4 linked regions of the Drosophila melanogaster genome follow. The protein of the gene in region 2 purifies or fractionates together with the protein of the main gene of each other region. This does not show direct contact. Each region holds a gene or a part of one and is shown on either strand. Other genes may lie near its edges. The genes, in order: TpnC4, mAcon1, Scp1 and TpnC41C.

Region 1 (6,685 bases), on a different chromosome or scaffold from region 2:
TACTAGTGTATGCTACTGCTCACATGACGGCGATGCTTGCATGATTTTCGCAAGTTCATCGAAATTCCGTATTGCATTTCGAGAACTGCACGCCACTGTTCCCTCGGAAATCGCAGGGTGCGGCCAAAGACACTATTCTAGTGTCTTTGGTGCGGCACAGATCCCACTTTTGATATCGGCTCATAAGGATTTTGAGTGTTGTTGTACATCTTTTCTGTAAAATGTAATCTATTTTGTAAGGCTGAGGTATCAACGAGTTCTTCTATCTGCTTTGGCTTCTAACCAACAACTGACGCTCTCGCCTCTAGCATGGTTCATTTCCTTTTCTCGTATCTCTTTCGCACTTTAACCACGTTCAGCAACAGCACTATCGGTCACGCTCTAACACATTTATTCCCAATCTCAGATAATTTGTCGCTTTATTCCCATACATTGAAAATAAATGAAATAAGTTAAGCATCAAAGAACGCAAGGAGAAGAGGAAACAGTACAGCCTTGCCACACCTGTTACTTTACCACATATGTTCATCCGTCTGTTCGTACATCGGCCTTATCTGCTTTTGGCCCGATATTTGTTTATATTTAAATTAGATAAGAGAAAAATGATGCTAATACATTTCAATCAAATTTTATTTATAATATTTGACACAAAACTAATGGCTATTATTGTTTTATGTATTTTTGATTTTGCATTGTCTGCCATATCTGAGCTTTTGCACAGCATGTCAAAAAAGAGCAATGTGGGTCAACCTGGAAGAGAAAAGTTTTAGTGTTTATAAAAATATTTATATTTATATAACGAAATATAAGGATAAGGAACGAAATATTTGAAATTACAAGAGAGAATGCTATAGTCGAGTTACCGGACTATCAGATACCCGTTATTCAGCTAGTGGAAGGGAAAATGGGAATTTTCATAATTTTTCTGGCATATCGATAGAATTAGATAGAGAATAATATATTAAAAATATTAAAAAATTTAAAAAAAGGTGGGCGTGACAGTTTTGGTCGTTTTATAGGTGCTAGAAGGGGCGTCCAAAATTGTTTGGTATAATCAAAAAATTTTTCAAAAGTGTGGGCGTGGCAGATTTGTGAAGATTGGGTATTGGCATATCAATAGAAATTAATAAGACGTATACAAAAATGAATAATATAAAAACATTTTAAAAAGTGTGGTCGTGGCAGCTTTGATTTGCTTGTGGGCGTAAAAGTAGGCGTGGCAAAATTGAGAAACAACCTTGCACTTCGTCTATGTCTCAGGAATCTTAATCTATGTCTTAAAAATATGTTGATATTTTATAACATTTTATTTTATAAAATATATAATAAAAAAATATATATATATAAAATTCAATTTTGTCGCGCCTCTAACGCCACACACACACTTCTTAAATGTGTTGAAAATATACCAAAAACATGTTGTCCACGCCCAATCGGTAGCTTATTCGGGCGGCAAATATATAACATCCATATATGGAGGCATATTTATTGTTTTTAAATTTATCAGCTGAGTAACGTGTATCTGATAGTCGAGGCACTGGACTATAGCATTCTATAATATCATGTTTTTTCTACCAATTTTTATCGGTGTCATTTTGTCATCTGCCTTCTAGTCGAGTTACTGGACTATCAGATACTCATTACTCATTTAGTGGGAGGGGGAACGAAAAATGTTGACACTTTCTTAGCAAATCTATAGAAGTTTACAAAGCAATTAATGCGTCGCCAGGGTAGGGCAGGGGGAGCAGCTTCCCTCCCCCCCTCTGGACCTAAAAGGAATGTTCCAAGAAATTTCATAATTTGCTGCCTATTACGTAACTTCCAGTTGTTTATTTACACTATGTACCGTTCTTATTCTCTTAGTCAATCTGCCTCCAATTCTATCGATAGGTGCTTTCACTAAGAGTTTCCAGTGTTGGAAGATGAATTCTGGTCAAAAATATATGTAACTAAACGGGCTCTGTTTGAAGACAAATACTTCTGCGACGTCATTTTATTATCATAAACGACAGTCTCTCAGTTTTTGTCTGCCTACTTGCTCTTCTGGCTTGTTTCAAACTTCAACATTCGGTACATCTAACTTGCTATTCGGCACGAACTCAGATATGGTGGATGTTTTTAAAGGACCGGACATTCACCATCGCCAACCTTGTCTACATTTCTTTCTTTACTTTTTACTTCTTTGTATGGACCTTGACATTACCCTTTAATCTCAAGCCAACTCCATATTGAGTCTGATCACAACAAGCCAGTTTACTTTGATTTGATCAGTTTGATACTTTACTGACTTTCACTCTTTCTCATTGATGTTTCACTTTACGCTCTTTGTTCAACTGATCTCTTAATGTAAGGTGATCAACACTCAAGTCAACACCCGGTTTTTGTTATGCATCCCTCTATTCCTATTTGCCAATGAACATTTGGCACGTCAGTAAATAATATTGATTCCTTTTGTACCAAATGTTGCATTTTGCATGTTGTATAAAAAGTGGCACGGTAAAGCAGCGATTAACGCAACCCTACAAAAACACGAGGTATTGGATGTAACAGAGGATTCTCCCCAGAAGCGGAGATGTTTAGGGACATACATTCGGACATGCCCATATGGATCAGAATCGATCACAGGAATCGTGGTCCTAAGAACCTTAAACCCGGAAAAGCTTAAAGAAAAGACCCTACGTTGGATCCCAGCCATTGCCATGCATATGCGTGGCACGCATACCCAAAAAAAAAAAAATATATGTTATAATATTTTTAAATTTGTAATAAGCTTGACAATTTCTATCGATTTGCCAAAAAACTTTTTGCCATCAGCACTTCAACGCCTACAAGCCGCTCAAACTGCCACGCCCAATTTTTTTTTTTCATTTTTCTTTAGGATTTCATAACTGGACTGTGGTCTTCTCTCTTGTCTTAGGTATAGAGACCTTAGCACACTTAGTTTTTAATCGTCTAACGGCATAAGCAACATTTTACGGTCATAACTGATGTTGCTTATGCCGTTATGTTGACGATTAAAAACCAAGTATAAAAAAAAAACACATCCTTACAAGGCAATACGATAATAAATCGTTTAATAGAAAATGTTTTGGTGGACAGGAATTATTTTAGAAAAACGGGCGCCGTTTGCGTAAATTTTATATTATGAATTTATAATTTATGCAATATATGCAATATCAATTGTAGTCATACAAGTTGATTATTTTTTGCACGTGGGTGGTATCGTCACTTCACCCTTAAACGGCAAACCGTAAAGAAGGTCAGAATAATATTGTTTTGTTTGAATGTGTTTTTTTACATAGGTGGAACTAATATTTGTTTAAGGGTATCATGTATTACCTGTCATAACTTGCATGAATTCTGCAATGAAAACGTTATTATTGAATGTTTGATTAATTATATTAAACTACTTACCGTCAAAATCAACCGTACCGGATCCATCCGCATCAATTTCTTCTATAATCATATCTAAGTCTTGGTTAGAAAGCTTATCGTCCAATTCGTGAAGAATGCCTCTTAGTGTTGCAACTGTCAGGTATCCTTTCCCCTCTTTATCATATACACGGAAGGCCTCTTTTAACTCATTTTGAAGAGCTCCCACATCTTCCTCAACTTCAATAAAGCGAGCTGCCAGTTTGCAGAACTGGCTAAAATCCAATTTACCAGTTGTTCCTTTATCGACCTCTTTAATAAGGGCCTTTACCGCAGGTGGTTCTAATTTCTGACCCAAAATTTCAAGAATGCTAGATACATCAGCATGTTCGATCGATCCTGCACCGTCGTGGTCGAAAGCCTTGAAGGCGTTCCTAAGGACTAATACGTCGTTTTTTAAATAGTAAATAAAAGTTTAATTTTATACTACTTCTCAATTGTTCCTTGTCGTATTCTCCATCGGCCTGAAAGAAGTATGGATATATAATAAAATCTTTAAGATAATGAACTATATGTTCATGTCAGCCTGGTGTCTACAAGAGTAATGTCATAATTATACTCGTTTGGTGGACGGGTATGTTGTATTTCCAAAAATATATTGCATACAGATGCATGTCTTTCATGCACAAAAAGGGTACGTTTTCTTATGTGCATTTTTTGTAACGAAGTCAACTTTTGCTCGGTAGCCCGTCTGTCCGTATGCAACTGATTTACCATAAATGTTCGAAGACTCTACTTTAGCGATGTAGAACAATATATCCCTTATATGTATGGCTAGATCGACTCGGCTATTGTTCCTGATAAAGAATGTATGTCTATGCTTTATGTGGTAGAAATCGCTTCCTTCTGCAAGTTACATACTTTTTAACGAATAGAGTATACCCTTTTACTCTACGAGTAACGGGTAGCGGGTGTTATTGCAATAAATACTAAGTTAATGATAAATTAAAAAATTTTAAGGTAATATCTTCTTCACTGTCTGGTTATTAAAATCCACATAGCGCACGTTGTCGTCTACATTTTAATGTTTTGAAAATGATCTGCAGATTAACGGCAGTGATGACAATTAAGTTCCTATTTGTCTCATACGTAGATAGACACTATCTATATCAAAAAAAAAAATATATCAAAAATCACTTTCCCTTGACAGCTTATTTCCAACCACTTTACAAACTTAATACTTTATACTTTATCGCTTGTGGAATTTATATTTATATAAATTGTGTTTTTTCATAGCAAGGGTAAATAATTATATTTATATTTATATTTAGTCAACAGTAAATTTTATATAAAAAATTCAGAATGTGCTCCATTAATTTTTAGTTTAATCAAAGTTATAATATCGTAACTTACCATTTTAAAGAGTTTTTTTTTGTTAAATCAAATTACACCGCTAAGGTTTAGGAAAACCCTTTAAATATAATATAAAAATACTATATTACTATTACTATACGATATTTTTGATAATCTAAAAAGTGTCCCAGAAGAGGAGCTAAAGAAACAGGGTACGCTACTTTCAATTATCACCAAGCTTTTAAACAATTCGATTTGTGTTTTATGTTAGCTAAGTTCATCGGCAATGGAAAATGCCAAAGCTTTTCCGAACGAACGCTAACAATAAAAATGTAAGCGACTACATCTGTATACAAACGGCTAAATTTTCATCCTAATCGATGATAAGGAAATAAGAGCAAGAAGCGCTCGAAGAGTAAGGGTGGTCTTTATGCCGAAACTTTTATTCCTTAAATTGTAAAAGCAATAATCCAATTAAAAATTTTTATTTTTTAGTTTATATAAAATTAGAAATTTAAGTATTTTTGATACCATAAAGGCAACATATTTCTTAAATTAATGATTTACCATAACACTTAATCTATACGGGAAATAACAAACATTTTCTTTGACAGTTCAACCATAAATATTACGCGGAACTTATATTTTTAAGCGTTCCTCGTTGCACAGTAATATTTATATCTTTAAGATATCTTTACTTACTGAATCAAGCTTCCTTTCCTGTTACTGTTTCTTCCTAATCTACCTAATCAAGAGAAATGCGCGATAATTGATGAGTATCAAAATGTACCATTGCATATATTTTACCGAAGTTGGTGCATTCATCACGTAGTGTCAAAATGGGGTGAAAGCTATTTATATTTTATTAATTTAGTGAAAGTTGTTAATTAATATGATTTTATCGTAGATAAAGTACTTCACGAAACCAATTTTACCTTCACACTTTCAAAAATGTGTGATCTCATTGTTTGTTATACCCGTTACTCGTAAAGTAAAAGTGCTAGTTTCGCTGAAAAGTAGCGTTTCCGACCATATAATGTATGTATGTATATATTCTTGATCAGGATCAATAGCCGAGTCGATCTGACCCTTTCCGTCTGTCGAGATTACCATTCCAGAGACATAGACGCAGCGCTAGTTTGTTGACTCACGCTAACGCCCTCAAGCCGCCCAAAACTGCCACGCCCACACGTTAGAATAATGTGGTACACAGCCTACATCTCGTAGCAGATGACATGGAGGGGACTGCTGGGCCTATAGAATCGTTCCCAAGGCAGGCACTGTCGCATTCTACAAGGAAGACGCCCAGTGAAAGACAATAGTTCCATCATGGCTTTTAATTATTGATGGTTGGACGGTCTGTGAAAACGAATTTCTGTCTTATACGGTGAAATAGCCAATGGCTGGGCTTTTTAGGCTTACGTTGACGCTATGACCGTTATGACTTGTCGCTCCGAAACTTGATTTACGTGGCGTCTCTCACATTGACAAAGTTACAACCCACAAGTGGGCCAATGATGCATGTGCCTAAGCACTCTTTTCCAATGGCCCTAAAAGCTACGTATAGGTAGGTACATATATAGCGATGTACAATTAGCAATTTGAATGGAGTATTACAGTTCAAGTTCTGCTGGAGCTCCAAAGTGTGATTATTTGGCAATGGTCCGTCATCTTACACCTCAAGAAAATATTAACCGAAAAACTGCTAGGAAAGACAACAGATCTGATCTTAAATACGCCTGCAGATGAGCGGAAGGGCAGTTTGTCCCCTGATCCTATATAATGTAATCAGTATTTCACGCGTTTTCGATTCTATAGAGTATATACATTCGTGATCAGGATCACAAGCAAAGTCGATTTGGCCATGTTCGTTTGTCTGTCCATATAGAGTTGTGGTTAAGCATTACATTTTAAGCAGTATTATTTTAATTTAAAATGCTTGCCAACCCCGTTTCGGGGT
Region 2 (7,119 bases):
AGCGAAGCTTGTGAATCATATGTTTCCAAAACCCAGATGGCGAGTCCGCTTTCATTTCATCGGCAATCGCATCCCAGATTCTGTCTTTGAGCTCGAAATTGAAGAAATCTTTGTTGCGCTGATTCCACAAGCATTTGTGATCTTCATACAATGCGATTAACTTTAATTTAGCCTTGGCGGTCTTCATGAACTCCGGGCTAGGTGAGAAGGTGATGGGGGTCTTTCGCAAAGAAGTGGCGTCTGTATAAGTGTAGGAGCCTGTGCTGGAGTCAAAGGACGTTGTACTCTGTTCCTGACGCTTAAGTTTTGCAGCCAGTAGGGCTCGTCTTCTTCCCAACGATGGCTTGTCGGAGAGTGAAAAGAAATCCGTGCTGGAAGCAACGGAAGTTTTACTTTGAGCTCTGCGTTTCATAGTCCTAGAATTGGATTTACTAATAATTTATATTTGATTGACAATTCGACATATTTTCCAAAAGCTATGGGTGAATAATTAAGTAATCTGCCCCAGTAGATTCTATTATTGATATTATGCTTTATTGTGCAAATTGTTGTGTCTTACGTCTTATAATTGATAAAATTATGTTAATAATGAAGAAAATATAGAGGACACGGGATGAATTGACGGCACTTATTGTCCGCTTTTTTGTTTTAACTGTTGTTTATTAAATGAAAGAATCGGTTTAATACATATTACTTGAGTTTTATTCGCACTTAAAACAGTTTCATAGTAGAGGCAATCTGTAGAGCATTTGGACAAATTCAAAAAGAACAAAAATTGAAGGAAACGCATGCATAGCCAGAATTAAAAATAAAATTGTGTATAATTATATATATAAAACTCTTACAATTTCTCGCTATCGTTCGGCTACATAATTCACTTTTAAAGCTGCACACTCGATATAGTCAAAATATAATATAAACAATTTGAAAAGAATTGAATAACAATACCATAATTCGATTGCTTCCGTTGTGAATTTGAGTGTGTTCACCTACAGGAAGAAGGTTGGGATCAGGCTTCTTGACTGGGTGTCTTAAGTAGGTCCAGGACCATTTACTGGGCCAGCTCCTTCATGCGGTTGAGAGCGCTGCCGGCCTTGAACCAGCCGATCTGTAGGTCGTTCAGGGTGTGGTTAAGCTTGATCCTCTCGACCTTGTCGCCATTCTTGATTTCGGCATCTACGGGCTTTCCAGGCGCAAGGGATTTCAGGTTGAGCAGGGAGATTTTGCTCGTGGGCTGGATCTGTTGAAGTACAAAGATATGGTTAATATGACCTTAGTCACAGAAGCTAAGAGTCGCAAACCTTATCGTAATCAGCGGGATTGGCGAAGGTGAGAGGCAGAAGACCCTGTTTCTTCAGGTTGGTCTCGTGGATACGGGCGAAGGACTTGACGATAATGGCACGACCACCAAGGTGACGGGGCTCCAAAGCGGCATGCTCGCGGGACGAACCCTCGCCGTAGTTCTCATCGCCGACGGCCACCCACTTGATGCCGTTGGCCTTGTAGTCGCGGGCTACGTCGGGAACTCCTCCCCAGCTACCGTTGCGTTGGTTCTTGATGTTGTTCATCTCGTTGTTTTCGTAGTTGGTGGCTCCGATAAACATGTTGTTGGAGATGTTGTCCAAATGGCCACGGTACTTCAGCCAGGGTCCGGCAGCGGAGATGTGGTCAGTGGTGCACTTTCCCTTAACCTTGATCAGCACAGTCAGATCGGTCAGATCCTGGCCGTTCCACTTGTCAAAAGGCTCCAGCAGCTGCAGACGCGTCGACTTGGGGTCGACAGCCACCTTGACATTTTCGCCGCTCTGTGGGATTTCCATATTGATTCTTAAGAACAATATAAATCAGTTTGGGAATTTAAATGTACTTACGGGTGGGGGAGCAGTGTAGGTGTCCTGGCCGGGATCGAAACCCTTGGCGGGCAGCTCGTCGCCGAAGGGAGCCTTGAGCTTGAACTTCTTGCCATCAGCACCAGTAAGCTCGTCGGTCAGCGGGTTGAAGTCCAGACGACCGGCGATGGACAGAGCGGTGACCAACTCGGGACTAGTGACAAAGCAATGGGTGGCCGGGTTAGCGTCGTTCCTGCCAGTAAAGTTTCGGTTGTAGGAGGTGACAATGGTGTTCTTGTCGCCCTTCTTAACGTCCTTACGATCCCACTGTCCAATGCAGGGACCGCAAGCGTTGGCCAGAACGGTACCGCCGAACTTGTCGAACACCTCAGAGATGCCGTCGCGCTCGATGGTGGCACGGATCTGCTCTGATCCGGGAGTCACATTGAAAGGAATCTTCGACTTGAGGCCATGGCTCATGGCATCCTTGGCGATGCTGGCGCAGCGACCCATGTCCTCATACGAAGAGTTGGTGCAAGAGCCAATAAGACCTACACGGATGTCCATAGGGTACCCGTTCTTCTTCGAGTTCTCGCCTAGCTTGCTGATGGGATGGCCCAAATCGGGAGTGAATGGTCCGTTAACATGGGGCTCCAGGGTGTCTAGGTTGATTTCAATCAGCTCATCGTACTCGCAGTTCTTGTCAGCGGACAGAATCTTGGCCTGGTACTTCTGGGCTTCGGAGGCAATGCCAGCACGGCCTGTCGATTTCAGGTAATCAGCCATGCGCTGGTTGAAGGGGAACAGAGAGGTGGTAGCTCCGATCTCAGCACCCATGTTGCAGATGGTGGCCATGCCTGTACAAGAGATAGAGTCAACACCCTTGCCGTGATACTCAATGATGGCACCGGTGCCTCCCTTGACGGTCAGGATATCGGCAACCTTCAGGATAACATCCTTGGGCGAGGTCCAGCCGCTGATCTTGCCAGTCAAATTGACACCAATCACCTTGGGGCACTTCAGCTCCCAGGGGATGTCGGCCATCACATCGACGGCATCAGCACCACCAACGCCAATGCACAGGCCACCCAAGCCACCACCGTTGGGGGTGTGTGAGTCAGTACCAATCATCAGCAGGCCGGGGAAAGCGTAGTTCTCCAGAATGATCTGATGGATGATTCCGCTGCCTGGCTTCCAGAAGCCCAATCCGTACTTTGCACAGGTGCTGGCCAAGAAATCGTACACTTCCTTGTTCAGGTCCTTGGCACGGGCTAAATCCTTGGGTCCACCAATCTGGGCCTCGATTAAATGATCACAGTGAACAGTGGAGGGCACAGCCACCTTTTTCAGTCCGGAGGAGATAAACTGAAGCAGAGCCATCTGTGCAGTGGCATCCTGCATAGCCACACGATCGGGGCGAAGACGCAGGTACGAAGTACCGCGCACGATGTCCTGGTTTGCGGGATCGTCCAGATGCGAGTACAGCACCTTCTCGGAGAGAGTCAGTGGGCGGTTCAAGCGACCGCGCACCACTTCCAGGCGCTTGTTCAGCTTCTCGTACGGCAGGTAGACGTCCGAGTCGAACTTGGACAGAGCCACTTTGGAGGCGGTGTAGCAGGAGGCGTGGAACTGACGCACCACTGTGGCTTCGGACGCAACATGCTTGCCCAGTCGACACACCTGGAAAGCAGATAAGAAGTCGAACTGTTAAATATGGTGAAGTGGTACATTTAGCAATCAAGATCAAGTAATTAACACAATGTGATTCTCTAGTTTATTTGCACTTCGCACACTGTGAGATTTTATTTATTCGCTTGGTAGCCCAATAAACACTTGATTATCATGTCAAGAGGACGAGTCCTCGTCACTTTAATTAAATTGATTCCTCTATCAGGAAATGATAATTCCCAAAGATATTCTGACAAGAGTACAATCATGTGGGGACCATATCTGTGAAAATTCTTCTTTACTGTACATTTAATCTTGCATACATATATAACAAATGTAAAACATTATTATCACCGCTTTCACTTGTTTTAAGATCAATATATTGCTAAAGCTAATAAATTTTAATCGTCTTGAAATTTTTGAATAGCCAAAAATAATCCATTGATCCATTTACCGCTTCAGAGTGAAATTTTTCCAAATATTTTTTTGAGATTAGTAAAATGATTGAAAGTTTACATTTAACAATCAAAGTATTTTAAGTGCTAGCCAAAGTGCTTTAAGGTTCTTCGAACTGCAGAATAAAAAAATAAAAAGTAGCTGGAAATATAGTTTGTTTGTAAGCCTTTCAAATTGTTACAATATTCTACAGAACACTCCAATTAGAAGAACCACGTGACGACACGACTGTATGTACATACACGCAAATCGAAACAATTGCAATGACAATTACGTCAAATAGGTCGTTAACTTATGGGCAGAGTACAGTGAAACCTTTCTCGAAGCTGACGTGGAAAAACCCCACTTGAAAGGCAAAACTCCTCCAATGCGCGTGATACTCAAGTTAAACGGCGCAACTTTTTTAAGCTATATTTAGTGCTGGCATTATCAAAGTGTAAGTAAACCTGTCACAGATAAGACGGTCCTCCGCCACAAGATATATGCTCTAGAGGGTGTTCGCCTCCTGGTTAAATAACTGGACCCCGGCGATTATGTAAATGCAACTATGCCAACCATCGAACCCCCACGAATCGCTGTTAATTGTTGAGAGCTAACGATTTCGCATGGTTCACTGCTGCGTATTCAGTATACATGTTTGGGATGCAGGGCCTGTAGAATCACAAACACTGCGAACTCGGTTACCTAACCACTTCGAATTTTATGATTTTAGGTTAGAAAACGCTGTGCGAAAAATTTGCTATTTTTCGCTGCCCACATCCTGCTGGGTGTGTAAGAAATGGGCAATGATTTTTTGTAAACTTTCGCGCAGTGCTCTGTCCAGTTGTCTTTATCGCAGCTTGGAATTTCGGGGTTCCATTCACAGATTCTATACGTAAACGTATATATAGCCGTGGTTATATATTGGCCGACTGGAGGCACAGGCTCCGCTCTAGAACCTACCTGTGCCTGGGCGTTCATCAATCTCGCAGCCATGGTCGCGTCCTGATTAAGCGATACTCGAAATAAACCCGACGAAATTGATATTGCAGCAAATGCTTCGAAGCCGTCAAAATTTTCAGCCCTCTCAGCCGGAAGATTTTAAGACAGACTAAATTCTTTACCACGGCGACCAGTGTTAGCTGGCGTCACGCATACGCGTCAGCAATGTTCCGCCGGCTTGTTTCCCGCCAAAATTGGGTCGTTAAATAAATAGGACCATAGAAAGTTTATCAGTTTTGAATTAAAGCGATAAACATTTATTAACTTCAAGAGAATTAATGGACTCTATGGCGTTAAAACTTAAATCGAAGTAAATGCTGAAATAATGCACTGACGACAACTTATTTTTCTGAGCAGGGACTTGGATTAATTTATCCTTTAGCTTTTTTTTAGCAGCCAGCGCAGACGACTACCGCGCTGTGCTGTCCAACACTGCCCATTTGTTTGCGTGGGCGGGTGATACTTTCCCACAACTGCGCGAATAATAAATAGGCTCGGCTGTGAAAAATGTTTGACAATGGCCAGTCAGCATTAGTCCTGATCCCCTTGCCATGTCCGAGCGTCGCGTAGTGCATGAGATACCCGGAGAGTACCAGCCAGTGCCCAGAGCACCGGAAGAGCCAACCCCTTTGACCACATCGTGTTGCCGGCGTCCCAATTGCGGCCTAGGGCTCCAGGATGAGCGAAATATCTGTTCCTGCAAGCACGGCTACATCATACCAGTGCTTATACTCTTCGTTCTGGTGATGATTGTGCTTCTGTTGCCTTGGGAGACCTACCATCGAAATGAAAACGGAAACAGCCCCGTTCCGGTGGAAAAGCCGTTACCATGTCAACTCGAACTGGTGGAGAGCTTGCCCTTGGGGTTGAACTACAGCCAATGGCAAAGCCACCCCCAACTGAGTAGCACCTTTGATGCCTGGCAGCTACTACTAGGCAGGGCCAAGGCATCGTTGGACATCGTTTCTCCGCACTGGACACTGCGCGGCTTGGACGTCAACGATAGCAGCACCGGGCCTGGAGATCAACTCTTTCAGCAGCTACTGTCGAATGGAGATGCCGGCAGACCCAAGCTGCGCGTGCGGATTGTGGTTAATCGCAGCCACGATAGCCTGTGGCATGCTGATGCCCGTATCTTGGCTAACTACGGAGCAGCCGACGTCGTGGGCATTAATTTTCTGCACTCAAAACTGTGGTTAGTGGACGGGGAGCACTTCTACTTGGGCACAGCTAGCATGGACTGGCGATCACTGACGCAACGCAAGGAACTAGGTGTGCTGGCCAGAAATTGTCCCCATCTTGCTCTAGATCTGGGAAAGATCTTCAAGGCGTATTGGTACCTGGGCAGCAATGAAGTGCCAAAGAGCTGGCCGTGGATATACCACACGCACATCAATCAAAGAAGACCGCTTTTGCTAAACATCAACAAAAAACATACAATGAGAGCTTATTTATCCACATCACCACCAGAGTTGATCGCTACTGGAAGGACCCGAGAGCTAGATGCCATTTTAGAGGCTATCGACAAGGCCACAGACGTTATATACCTCTCCTTAATGGAGTACTCTCCTCGGCTAAGACGGAGTAACAAATTGGAGTACTGGCCGGTCATAGACAATGCCCTGCGTAGAGCTGCCTTGGAACGCGGTGTGGCCATTAAGGTGCTTATTTCATGGTGGAAGTATTCGGATCCCAGCGAGGATCACTTCTTGAGGTCCCTTCAAGCGCTCGACAAAATTACGGAAGGAGTAGATATACAAATGGTAATGAGCTTATAAGTATTGGCAATTTTATTAACAATTTCTTTGCTCTTGCAGCGACGTTTTGTTGTACCCACCACAAATGAACTGGAGAGGATTTCCGGCGGTAGAGTTAACTGCAACTCGTACTTAGTCACCGATAGGGTTGCCTTTATAGGCACCTCCAGTTTTTCGGGAGAGCATTTTACTTACTCAGCTGGCATTGGATTAGTACTCCAGGACATGGAATACAACAATAATAGTCTCCGTACAGATTTAATGGCAATTTTTCTGCGGGACTGGTTTAGTCCCTATGCATTGCCACTGAAACCAATTTTACGAATTTGAATTACGCTTTTAAACCTGCCGGCATTTTGCAACACCGCCACCAGCTGTTCATGTCATAACAAACGCAAGACCTAACCTCAAATTCTAAAATAAATTTA
Region 3 (4,555 bases), on a different chromosome or scaffold from region 2:
AGAAAATCCTAAAGAAAAGCTTCTGGCCAAGGTTGAGTGGATTAGGATTAATATTTAGAAGATCAGTCTGAATCGGGACGAGATCGTGAACAGTTTTAAATTTAAGACAAGAGATAAAAAGAATGTCTTGTAATAGTATAAGTGAAAAGGTCTATCATGAATAAAATATTAAATTATAATAAAATAAAAATTTTTTGTTCAAATAATTAAAAAGGAACACTTTTAATTTGCACAAAGATTAATATTGTAAACCATTAACAATGAATATAGATTTCAGTGATTTCATAGCTTAGCGATTGGAGATCCAAGCGAACACTCGAAAACCGTGTTGTCTGAACACTCTGAAATATTTTCCCTACGACCAAGTGAAGTTGAGGTTGCCATTTGGAGTCCACAAGAGTCCCATAGGCATTTAGAGAGATTTAAAGCTCGGCTTAACTTAGCCTAATATAATTTCGGTTAATGATCAACATAACCTAGCTGTAACCTGCCGTCAGAGTGGGCGTGGCAAAGAGTTTTGTGGCCAATCCATAGAAATTTTAAAGCCTAATAAAAATATGAAAAAATGAGTGTGCGTCTTTATCTCTAGAACCTGTATGGTTAATTTCAACCTTCTAGCTTTTATAGTTCCTGAGATCTCGACGTTCATACGGACAGATGGACATGTCCGCTACTGATCCTGATTAAGAATATATATACTTTATATAGTCGGAAACGCTACCTTCTGGCTGTTACATACTTTTCAACGAGTCTAGTATACCCTAGTATACCCAATTTCTTAGCAATATGATAAAATAAAATAATAATTACGAATTTACACCTTGAATATATCACCTAAAGTACGATATTGCAACAAAACGACTTTAATTAAATATATAAACTAGGTTATATAGCGAAACTTTCAAAAAATAGAGAAGCTCGGCGTATAGTCAGCTTTAATCAAACGGATAATAAAATAAAATAATAAAATTTTAAATTAAAACATAACTTTTCCAAAAAGAAGTCATTACATTGAGGAAAAGATATTTCACAAAAATAATAAGTAGTAGAAAATAAATATTTATAAAATGAATAAAAATATGAAAACTTTTTATTGCAAAAGTCATATCTTGAGACACGAACACGTTTATTGCAACAATGATTGCCTTATTAATTTTTCACAAGGGGCAAGTGAACGCCCTAATAACCTTTGTTCTAATATAGTCATCTTTGAAATTTATTTTGTGATATTATGTACATATATATTCAAATAATAATATAGTTAAGGCAAAGAAACTAGACACTAGGGTCTTTGGTTAAGGCCATGCAAGCCAAGAATTTTTTACATGTTGCCAATTAAACAAAGATAATACAGATGTAAAGTCTATGAACTTGTAAATTGTCAAATTTACAATGCATTACCATACAGTTGTCGGCTGTCACTGTATGCGTAGAAAAGAACTGCTGAGCCACCTCTGGAGCCATCCCGATAAAATTGTGTGCAAAAAATTGTATGGCGTTACGCATCTTGTTCTTCAAATGTCTTTGGCTTAACCTCATATAAGCTGCAATGACCACTTGACCGGTTCCATGTGACCTCATTTTAACGGATTATAAAACTACATCATAAATATGGCGCAACATTTAAATTGCCAGACTTGAGATTGTTACATAAATCTGATCCGCAGCAATTGTAAATGTTATTTTTATTGTATTTGTGCGCTTGCAAATTTGATTAATCCTATCCAAATACCCTTTCAGTAATTACAAAAACATATATGTCTACTTAGCACCCATAGTGTTAAAAAACGAAACTTTTATTTATATTCTATTTTGGGTGTTTAATTTTCAAGCAGTTCTTAATGCAGCTATATGATATAGTCGTCCCATATTAAATAAAATTAAAATAAAATGTATATATTGTTAAAATATCGGATTTCGGATAGTTCCGAAGATATGTATAAAAATGGCTTTATGTATTCAATGCAATGGAATATAAACTTAAATTTTTTGTATAAAATATACGTAAATTTTTAAGGTATTTTAATTCACTATAGGATACGTTTAATAAGCCTAAGTCCTTTTCTACTCACCATACATATACCGAACGACAAAATCGACACGGTTATCCCAGGAATAAGCCATTATGACGGAATTTGTTTGGAGCTTATCCTCATAAAATGTAAATAGCTAAAAGTAGAAATACCATTACTATCTGAACTAATAAAAGTCTATAAATAAATTAAAATTTTTTGGTATCTATAAATAGTACTTTTAGGTAAAAAGTTCTTGAATAGTAAATATGAGCTCCTTACCTTCGGAATAGCTTACTTCAGACTAACTAAATTTGCTAAACCTTTTGCCAAAAGTCGTACACTTTGGCAACATTATTTACATGGTATGTATCTAAACATTATACATACAAATGTGTATTGTATAGAAAGTGCATTTGTATATATTTGTTCTCTTTCAAAAGGTAGTTTATTTTTAATTAGGAGTTTCCATTGTACTAAATGTAATTATTGTATTAAGTAAACTATAGCACTGTTTTGAAATCACAATCAATAACAATTCAGTTTTCTACTACCAAATATTAAGCCTACCTGTTACAATGTTATTCGTGAAAGTTTCCATATAGATTATGCTCTAATTAACCATTTAAAATGGAAAAAAAGCGAACAATTCACCCCTATTTAATTTTGTATTTGAACACTAATAGTAAAATATATCAAAAATCATTTTAACATTTAAAGAATTGATAATTAATTGACATGATTATTAATAGAAAAATATTTACTATTTTTGCAAGCTTACACACATGTATATTCACAAGTATATATTTATAGTACATGCATAACCTATTATAAAGCACACATTTTATAAAACTCACAATTCTTATTTTCGGTTTTATGTACATATACATATACATATATAGGAGATACAATATTCAACATTCAAATGTACAGTTTTATGTCTTATTACCATTGTGATCGGCGGTCTATAGTTGTCTATTACTGTTAAGATATAATATTATATAAAAACAATATATATACATATAAGAAAATATATATATGTTTTTATGCCCCATACGTGTAGAGTAAAATTAGATTCGTTGATTCTACGTGTAACGGGTATAATAATATAAAACAAGAGAGAAGGCTATAGTCGAGTTCCCTGATTATCAGATACCAGTAACTAAGCTAGGGTCAATGCTAACGCGAAAGTTCATAATTTTTCTGGAAAATCGATTGATATCGATTGATTGATTGATATTAGAAAAAAAATAAAATGAAAAAAAAATAAAAAATTGTTAAAAAAGTGTGGGCGTGACCGGTTTGGTGGCTTTAGGGCGTTTGAGTGGGCGTGGCAAAAAGTTTTTTGGCAAATCAATAGAAATATACACGACCAATAAAATTATGAAAAATATCTAACAATTTTTCAAAAGTGCGGGGGTGACCGGCTTGTCGGCTTTGGGGCGTTTGAGTAGGCGTGGCAAAATTTTTTTTTGCAAATCGATACATTGATCCTGATCATGAATATATATACATTTTATTGTCGGAAGCGCTTTCTTCTGCCTGTTTCAACCAATCTAGTATACCCTTTTACTCTATGAGTAACGAGCATTAAAAGAGTTGGACTATAAACTTAAGTGAGAACATCGTCTTTATAAGCTGCGAGTCTTTAGCTGTCGGCTGTGCTGTCCTTATTGGCAGAGGATCGACGTCGGCTTCTTGGAATCACAAGCGCTGGTGGGAGCGGAAACAATTGCCAAACACATTTTGGGAAATCTGCTTGGTGGCGCTGAGCTTGCATATTTGGGGTTTGTTACTCTATTACATTCTGTTGTAGACCGATGTTGAATTCATTGTTATTAACTTTAACTTTCTAATTTATGTAGGGAATGTTATTGAACTGAGGTAGCTGATGTTAACTTTTGTTTCCATTCCCGGTATAGGTCTAAGCTGCAAGTTTATGCTTCTCTTCCTTTGACTATAGGTGTGAAGGCCCAGGATGATAATCAGAGTATTGTCGAAGAGCGTCAGTAGGGTTATGCTGTTGGCCTTTTATGTATATGCAACGGTTCAGTGTTTCAAGAGATATAACCTCAGTCTTTCTTTTTCTTCATCTGTAAATTGTACAAGAGGCGAACTAGGAGACAGGGCTGTAGGTTCCAAGTTGGCGAATCCCCCTGTTGTCGATAATCATCGAGTCGTTTGATAGCTAAACAAAGTAGGTGAAGCTCTGTGAGGATCCAGGATATGATTCCATCGTAATCGTTTAATAGGATGATTCCGTCGTCGACCTCTTCCATTCTGGATAAGTTGTCGGAGTTGCTAAAACTACACAGATCTTTCTTTCCCAGAACTAAATTTGGAGAGCAATCAACTAATTTAATTAATTAATTTCTTATATTTACAATTTTTTTCTCATCGCATATTTATATATGTATATATAGGTAAGATTTTCGAAAGCAAAGATTTCTTGAAAGTCTAAGTTGTTGTAGTTCTGTTGTTTTTAACTATTGGTTTTACAATGATATCTTAGTATTTCTATAAAGTTTGCGACTTTTACGATG
Region 4 (7,346 bases), on a different chromosome or scaffold from region 2:
TGGCATTGCCTAATAAGGTATGGATCGCATTCAACGCCTCTTAGCGTTTCTGGTAAGTCTCCGCACAATAGGGTTTCCCCTCACGACCGTGCACCATAATTGATTTCATATATCTTATCTTATCTTATCTTATGCCCTTGAACAAGCTTAACGCTTTGCCATATTTTTTTTATTTTTATATATATTTATTTAATTTTTATATTTATTTCATATTTGGATTTTTTAAATATTTAGTTGTCACATCTGGCACATCACACCCGTGAACTATCTTGTCACCGTGGTGCGTATCAGCCTATTGTATTTTATTATTTGGACTTTTTGTTCACATTTTATAGTTTTTTCTCATCACCGCGGTGCACCGGTCGCAAGCATTTTCCCCTTTTTTTCATTCTCCATCCTCGTGATGAGCGAACTGTTCGGGCGCCAATCTAAGCAGTCGAAAATACTACTTGGAGTTGGAATCCTTGCAGGGAGTTGCATGCTTTCGGTTTTCACCATATGAAAAATGAATACTTCAAGGTCTTAGTTTCTTTTATTTCTATAATTAAGTACAATTTTATAATTTGATAAAAAAAAAAATCGAAAATCGAACGAGTGGCCAGCGCTTCGCCAGCCGCTCGTAAGCTCAGCGGCCCAACGCTTAGCCAAACACAAGGTCCGTATGCCCTTTCATCATCGGTACGCTGCAGAGCTCCAGAGTCGTTAGCCTGTCTTCCGGTGCTGATGCTGCGCTAGCTGACACCGACATTCCCGGCGGTGGAGGTAGAGTAGATAATGACCCACTTGCAGAACAATGACTTCAGCTGCAATTTGGTCAGCTAGAGGTGGTGGGAGGGGAAAGCACGTGCTGCCTATCCTCTAAATGTATGTCCTAGTCATGTGAATACCAAAGCTTTTCCCATCTGTTGTTTTGGTCTTTGCGTCAAACACCACCCGAAGCTTAGTGATAAGACTATCCTCTCTTATAAATGCTTAATGAGGAATTTAATATTGGCCTGTATCATTTTCATTGTATCGCTCTAGTTGCTTTAATGTTTTACCTTTCAATTCTCCAGATTTATTAATCGGACAATATCTTTTTTATAATTCTCTTAAGGCATTGTTTATCACTTCGTGCTTTTTGACTAAAAACAATCCTTGTCGTTTTTACGCATAATTCCTTAAAATTATCCGTCTTCCAGCTAATTTTTCTAAATTGACTGGCGAGTGAATCCGTTAATCCGCTTGGACTTCAATCTGCGATGTACCAAAAATTTCTTAACGCTCCGTACTCGTCCACCTCCCTTACAGAAACGTTAAATTCCGAGCAGCCAAGAGTCTGAAGCAAAGGGGGGAAACAAATGGCTCGTTGAGTCAGACTGATAGCAACAAAGAAAATGCAGTTCGACTAAAGTGGCGCAAGCAGTCCAAGGCCTCTAACAACACGGCCAACGTGACTATAAACTATAAACTAAACTATACAAAACTAAACTATACTATTTGCGTGGAACCGATAGAGATTTATTCCATTTGGCAGGACTACTTAAAGTAACTTAAAAGGGTTTTAAAAAAATGCGTAAGAATAAAATATTTTACGTTTTCATACGATCAATTTACTTATTTACTTTAGACAAAATAATATAATATAATTTTTTCTCATGTCATTCAATTTTGATTGCATTGTTTAAATTAAAATACTTATTTCGATGTACTCTTTTGATATTGTTTTAGTCGTCGCCACCGGTCATTACTTCCATAAATTCTATAAAATAATATATGTTATAAAATAGCAAAGCGTTTGTAATTCAGCTGTATGATTTATATACCATCAAAATCAACAGTACCCGATCCATCGGAATCAATTTCCTCAATCATCATGTCCAGGTCGTCATTTGTCAATTTATCGTCTAGTTCGCGCAGGATTTCACGAAGAACACCAGTAGTTATATATCCATTTCCTTCTTTGTCGTAAAGGCGGAAAGCTTCCTTCAATTCAGCCATCATAGCTTCAGCGTCCTCTTCCACAAGGAAGCGGGCTGCCAGGGTGGTAAATTCTTCAAATTCGATTTGGCCCGAACCATCCTCATCGACTTCAGCGATAATGTCAGCAAGAGTTGCATCATCAAGTTGATGACCCAACATGCTAAGTATCGTACCCACCATAGCTGTGTTGATATATCCATTTTTTTCAGGGTCAAAAGCATTAAATGCATTACGTAGTACTATAAGGAAATGCTTTTTAGTTAAGAAATCAGTAAATGGGTTATAAGCTTACATGCAGTTTGCTCCTTAGTCAATTCATCCTAAGAAAAATAAGGGTGTTTATTTAGAAATATACAATATAGGCATAATACTAAAATACAATTTCATTTAATATATTTATGCGTCATGACTTTAACTGTGTTTGAATTCTTAATTGTTAACTGCCTGATGTGTGGTTTGATGTCAATCTAATGCCAGTGATTAGTTTTTATTTCACGTAAGGTCAACGATAGTTTTGGAAATCGATTGGAATGCAAAGCGGCTTTCCTCCTCCAATATTCGCCATTTTTAAAGCCGCCTTGTGGTGTGTACATAGCTGAATTGCTAAAATTGTCCCTTCCAAAGGAGGTCCTACCTTGCTTGATTTTATAAAATTGTAAAATTCAAGGTTAAAGCCAAGAATTGCATGATGGGTCACACTAATAGCAACGAAAGAAAATCGCCAATAAACGAGTCTATTCCGGTAAGTGGAAAAGTTATTGGAAAAGTTAATAAACCGGGGGCGAAATATTTCATTCAGTACAAACATTTAGCCAACACCAACAAAAACTCTAGTCGGCTAAGACAAGTCCTAAGCCGGGCACACTGCCCTATCGTTATATGATCGACAGCTTTTATGCGGTAGTGAGAGTTGACGACAGACGAACGGTGGGAAAACAAATCATTTTTTTTAATTAAAAAATTAACTTAATAATAATTCTCATTATTTTGGAGAGGTGATAGGCTTACCAAGATTTATATATCATTAAAATAAACAGTACCCGAAGTCCCCAATCATCATGTCTACTTTAATTTTAAGATTTGTCTTCCAAAGCCGATAACATTAAAAAGGAAAATATTAAATTTTCTTGCGTGAGTGACATTTTATTTTTTGAAGTGTTCTGATGATTTTCGACCGAAAAGTACGGTGGTGAAGGAGTTTGAAGCTAAGATGAAAAATATGAAAGAGGGATCGTGGGAATTAAACTTCCCCGACGAACACCCTTACTCTTAAGCGGCTTAGAAGTCCAAATTGAAATTTTGCCCCACTTCAAACGAAAGCTCACTACTTTACGATCTTCAGCGAGTTAAGCCAGTCTTAACACGCTGAGTGCTTAGGCTCTGTGCGAAAGTCTTATGCAAGCCTCTACTTTACCCTTTATATATATGGGAGGAGTCCGTGATACCTCTTCATAAACAAATATATGTAAGCAATTACAGAGGGATCTCTAAAAGATCGGATATCCGTAGGCTTCAAAAACATGATAAATTGCTATTTCTCAGCTGGAAGTGTGAACGAGACATTTTTGGACATAGGGAGAAATTAGAGAATATAATGAGAAAAATGGGCGGCTTGTGGGCGTCAGAGTGGGCGTGCAAAACAATTTTTCTATCAACCCGTTACTCGTAGGATAAAAGTGTTAACTAGATTTCCAGACAGGCAGACCATATAAAGTATATATATTCTTGATCAGCATCAAAAGCCGAGTTGATATTTCCATGTCCGTCTGTCCGTATTCAGCGTCTCGATTTCAGCTTTCTGAAATTAAGCTTACAGATTCTAGAGACATATACGGAAGGCAAGTTCATTGACTCATGCTGCCACGATCACTCTAACGACCACAAATCGCAGAAAATTGCCCACACTTTTTAAAAATGTTTTGATATTTTTAAATTTTTTTGTTTGTAAATTTCTATCGATTTGCAAAAAAACTTTTATGTCTTTTAAATTTGTATCGATTTTCCAAAAATCTTTTTGCCGCGCCCACTCTAACGCCATAATACCGCAGAAAACTGGGAGAACCCCACTATAGCATTCTCTCTTCTTCTATTTCTTAGTAAGATGTTCTCAAGTTAGCTCCACTTATCTGCACTAATCTTGACCCACTTAACTTGTTAACTAGAGCACTTTCTTTACCTTTTCTTTCTAAATATGAATCTCTGTTTTAGAAAAGTAACAAATTCAATAAACCCCATCTTTGATATTTTTGTAGAAAGAAGCTTTTTCGTCCCTAAAAAGAATATAGGTATAAGCATAATCAGTATCAGGACCACTACCCGAGTCAATCTGGTCGTCAGTTGGTCAGCTATTCTGATCATATACACGCGATTTTGGGATCCATAAAAGCTAGAAAATAGAAACGACGGATTCAGAAGAATCTTTAAGGCTACTTTCAAATTAACCACGGATTTCGATATTTATACCCATTACTCGTAGAGGGTTTACTAGATTTGTTGAAAAGTATGTAACAGGCAGAAGAAAGAGTTTTCGACTATATAACGTAAATATATTCTTGATCAGGAACAATAGCCGAGTCGATCTGGCCACGTCCGTCTGTCCGTATGAACGTCGAGATCTCAGGAACTATAAAAGCTAGAAGGTCTTGTAAATTTCTATAGATTTGCCAAAAAACTTTTTGCCACGCCACTCAAACGCCCTAAAGCCGCCAAATCGGTCACGCCCACACTTTTCTTTATTTTTTTCTCATTTTACTCCCCAATATCTGTCGATATCCCAGAAAAATAATGCAATTCGCGTTCGCGAACTCGACTATAGCATTCTCTCTTGTTATACCTTAGATAGGCAGGAAGATGGACATGACCTGGTCGATTCGACTAGTGATCAAGAATGGGTGTATATAGATGTAAATGTACCTGTACATGCGGACAGACGGACTGACTGACAGACGGACCAAAAACGTAAGATTCCTTAAAGTAAAAATGTAGTATTTGCAAATCAAATACATGTGTGAGCTGTTTAATGATGTTTAAAGAAATATTAGTTGAATGTACAATATGTTTATTCTCTGACTTAATTGAAAAGTTATCGAGCAAACATTGCTGGAACGTGGGCGTTAAGCATTAACTCTCTATATAAAACGTTATATCGTTACTTATTTTATTTGAACTGATTGCACCCTGAAAAACGTTCAGTATTGAGATCATCTGAAATAATTTTGACTCCTTTAATCTTGAAATTTTAACTCGAAGTAGCTTGGAAACTTATACTGGGATTATTTTTTTTGCCGATTAACTTACGCTCATTTTTTTAGCTCTTTGGATTAATCTCTAATATTAAAAAATTGAACACTCCGTTAATTAAAAGCTAAATAAACAATTGAAGACGAGAAATAAACTTGGTATTGACGCGATTAAAACACATATGGGCTATGTGTCTTCTGTGGATGCATCTCAACATTCAGGAACATTTTAGACTTAATACGATGATAGCTCTGCAACTATTTTTGTTGAAACAAAAACAACAATTAAAACCAAATAAAAAAGACAACATAAATATTCCGTATGTCATGTAACTCAAAGATAATTTTATCCACAAGACAGAAAAATACTCAGAGTTTTATTTTTAGATACACAATATTCATCAAAATTCTTTATTTTTATAAACCGTACATTGCATTAGATCTTGGAACGTATTATAAAATGGTATTTGTGAACAAAAATTGCAATTCAAAAACAAGAGCGAACGCTATAATTTTGTTTCTCGCCCTTCTGATACTCAGCGTGTGGGAGTGTAAGGGAAATGGAGACACAAAAAACAAAATTAGAAAACACTCTTCACGAGATTACTCACAATTGCAACCTGGTAGCGGTTACATTTATTGTGGACGTGGCCAATCTTTTTGGGCATACTTATAGAAATTGGTCAAAAAAATTATGAATAGAATAAAAATATAACATTTCCTAAGCTTATACACCCTCGCAGTTATTATATATAAAAAATCATGAAAAAATCATATTATGAAACATAAAACAACGGAATATATTTTTTATACCCTTGACTACAAGATTCGTTATTAAATATGTAACAGGCAGAAGGTTGATTTTCCGATCCTATAAAGTATATACATTTTTGATCAGAAAGTTTCAAAAATCGGTCCCGCTCTCACTAGCTGAATAGCGGATCTATTGCTTTATTTGCTTATCTTCTGGCCAATTTATGTTTGAATACATTTCGAAAATGCTCCCCGTAAGTGGTGCAAAATCTAAAAAAATTATTATATTTACATTAAGAACCTATGTACACTTAAAACCAAAAGCACTTATCTATAAGACAAAAACTTGAGTAACCAAGAGCTAGAGGAGACTTCTCCGACACAATAAAGACCACTCTGGTTTTAAACTCGAAAGAGCTCAGTATGCCCCCTTTGGGAATACCGATAACTATATCCAAACTCATCAGCTTCCCCCTTTGGACACACTGATAACTTGGGCGCTGCCCGAGTTAACAGAAAAACGTTTTTTTGGACCGATTCAATGCGGTCCGAGTGAACGACGTATTGAGGACTCCAGACAGGTGGCCATTACTCAAAAATCAGACGGACTAAGGTTTTGGTCGTGTAAGGATCATAAAATTCCTTTGGCCACCTTTTTATAAAGCCAAGCACACCCCTGGCCTTATTTAATATTCGAAATATGGTCTAAAATTTAAGTTTAGGTCCAGAAAAACACCAAGATCATCAACCCGTTTTATTCTGTCTAAAGAGCGACCCTTTAAGTGCAAGTTGTGTGTATTGGTTGATACGGCAAAAGGTCATAACTTTACACTTGGAGCCATTTAAGTTTAGTACGTTATCACGGCACCATATTTGAAAGATATCTAGATCGGATTGTAAGTTCAAACTGGACTTATGATATGAATTCGTATCTTCGTAACAGAACAAGACGATCAATTCTTTCTACGATAGAAAAGGCGTTTGATTCCCTTGGATTGATAAGTCCAACTCTAAGTCGGTGGCAATATTTTTTCTGAATACTAAAATAAGACAGTCTGGCCTATGGCCTTCGATTTCAAAAACTGTGGAACAAGCCCGTTGTGAAGAATCAAATTTTTTTATTATATAATATCATATTCATTTTCGAGTGTGACAGGGACAGCTATGGCTAAGGGAGGAATATGAGTAACAAATGAACGAGTCCGTGTATTAACTGTGATCATGTCGCATGCGAGTATTCCGGGCATTGCCGCAGAGTTTTCCCATCAGTGTTAACTACTATTATGCCGTCTCCGAGTATTACGGGCATTTTCGTAGAGTTTCTCAGCAGTGTTACCTGCAACGGTGCCGCCTGCGTGTAGCCGGCCCCGTGTGCATTAGCTTGCCACCAGT

Evidence for each region.
Region 1: the proteins of mAcon1 (region 2) and TpnC4 purify together in Drosophila melanogaster (affinity purification with mass spectrometry, with the first as the bait; one large-scale study listed by BioGRID). This does not show direct contact.
Region 3: the proteins of mAcon1 (region 2) and Scp1 purify together in Drosophila melanogaster (affinity purification with mass spectrometry, with the first as the bait; one large-scale study listed by BioGRID). This does not show direct contact.
Region 4: the proteins of mAcon1 (region 2) and TpnC41C purify together in Drosophila melanogaster (affinity purification with mass spectrometry, with the first as the bait; one large-scale study listed by BioGRID). This does not show direct contact.

What each region holds. Positions count from the first base shown.
Region 1 is NT_033778.4:5,502,899-5,509,583, forward strand, and holds TpnC4 (troponin C isoform 4), read right to left. Parts: upstream 4,969-6,685; 5' UTR 4,789-4,968; coding exon 4,786-4,788; intron 3,897-4,785; coding exon 3,863-3,896; intron 3,814-3,862; coding exon 3,415-3,813; intron 3,361-3,414; coding exon 3,340-3,360; intron 751-3,339; coding exon 746-750; 3' UTR 539-745; downstream 1-538.
Region 2 is NT_033779.5:21,166,581-21,173,699, reverse strand, and holds mAcon1 (mitochondrial aconitase 1), read right to left. Parts: upstream 5,131-7,119; 5' UTR 4,929-5,130; coding exon 4,896-4,928; intron 3,510-4,895; coding exon 1,872-3,509; intron 1,806-1,871; coding exon 1,302-1,805; intron 1,241-1,301; coding exon 1,052-1,240; 3' UTR 516-1,051; downstream 1-515. Other genes in the region: CG31627 (uncharacterized protein), read right to left, coding at 1-412; CG43345 (uncharacterized protein), read left to right, coding at 5,486-6,697, 6,752-7,021.
Region 3 is NT_033778.4:2,965,023-2,969,577, forward strand, and holds the start of Scp1 (sarcoplasmic calcium-binding protein 1), read right to left. Parts: upstream 3,031-4,555; 5' UTR 2,962-3,030; intron 2,323-2,961; exon of another isoform or gene 2,295-2,322; intron 2,170-2,294; 5' UTR 2,125-2,169; coding exon 2,073-2,124; intron 1-2,072.
Region 4 is NT_033778.4:5,064,723-5,072,068, forward strand, and holds TpnC41C (troponin C at 41C), read right to left. Parts: upstream 5,489-7,346; 5' UTR 5,266-5,488; coding exon 5,260-5,265; intron 2,283-5,259; coding exon 2,255-2,282; intron 2,202-2,254; coding exon 1,806-2,201; intron 1,742-1,805; coding exon 1,707-1,741; 3' UTR 515-1,706; downstream 1-514.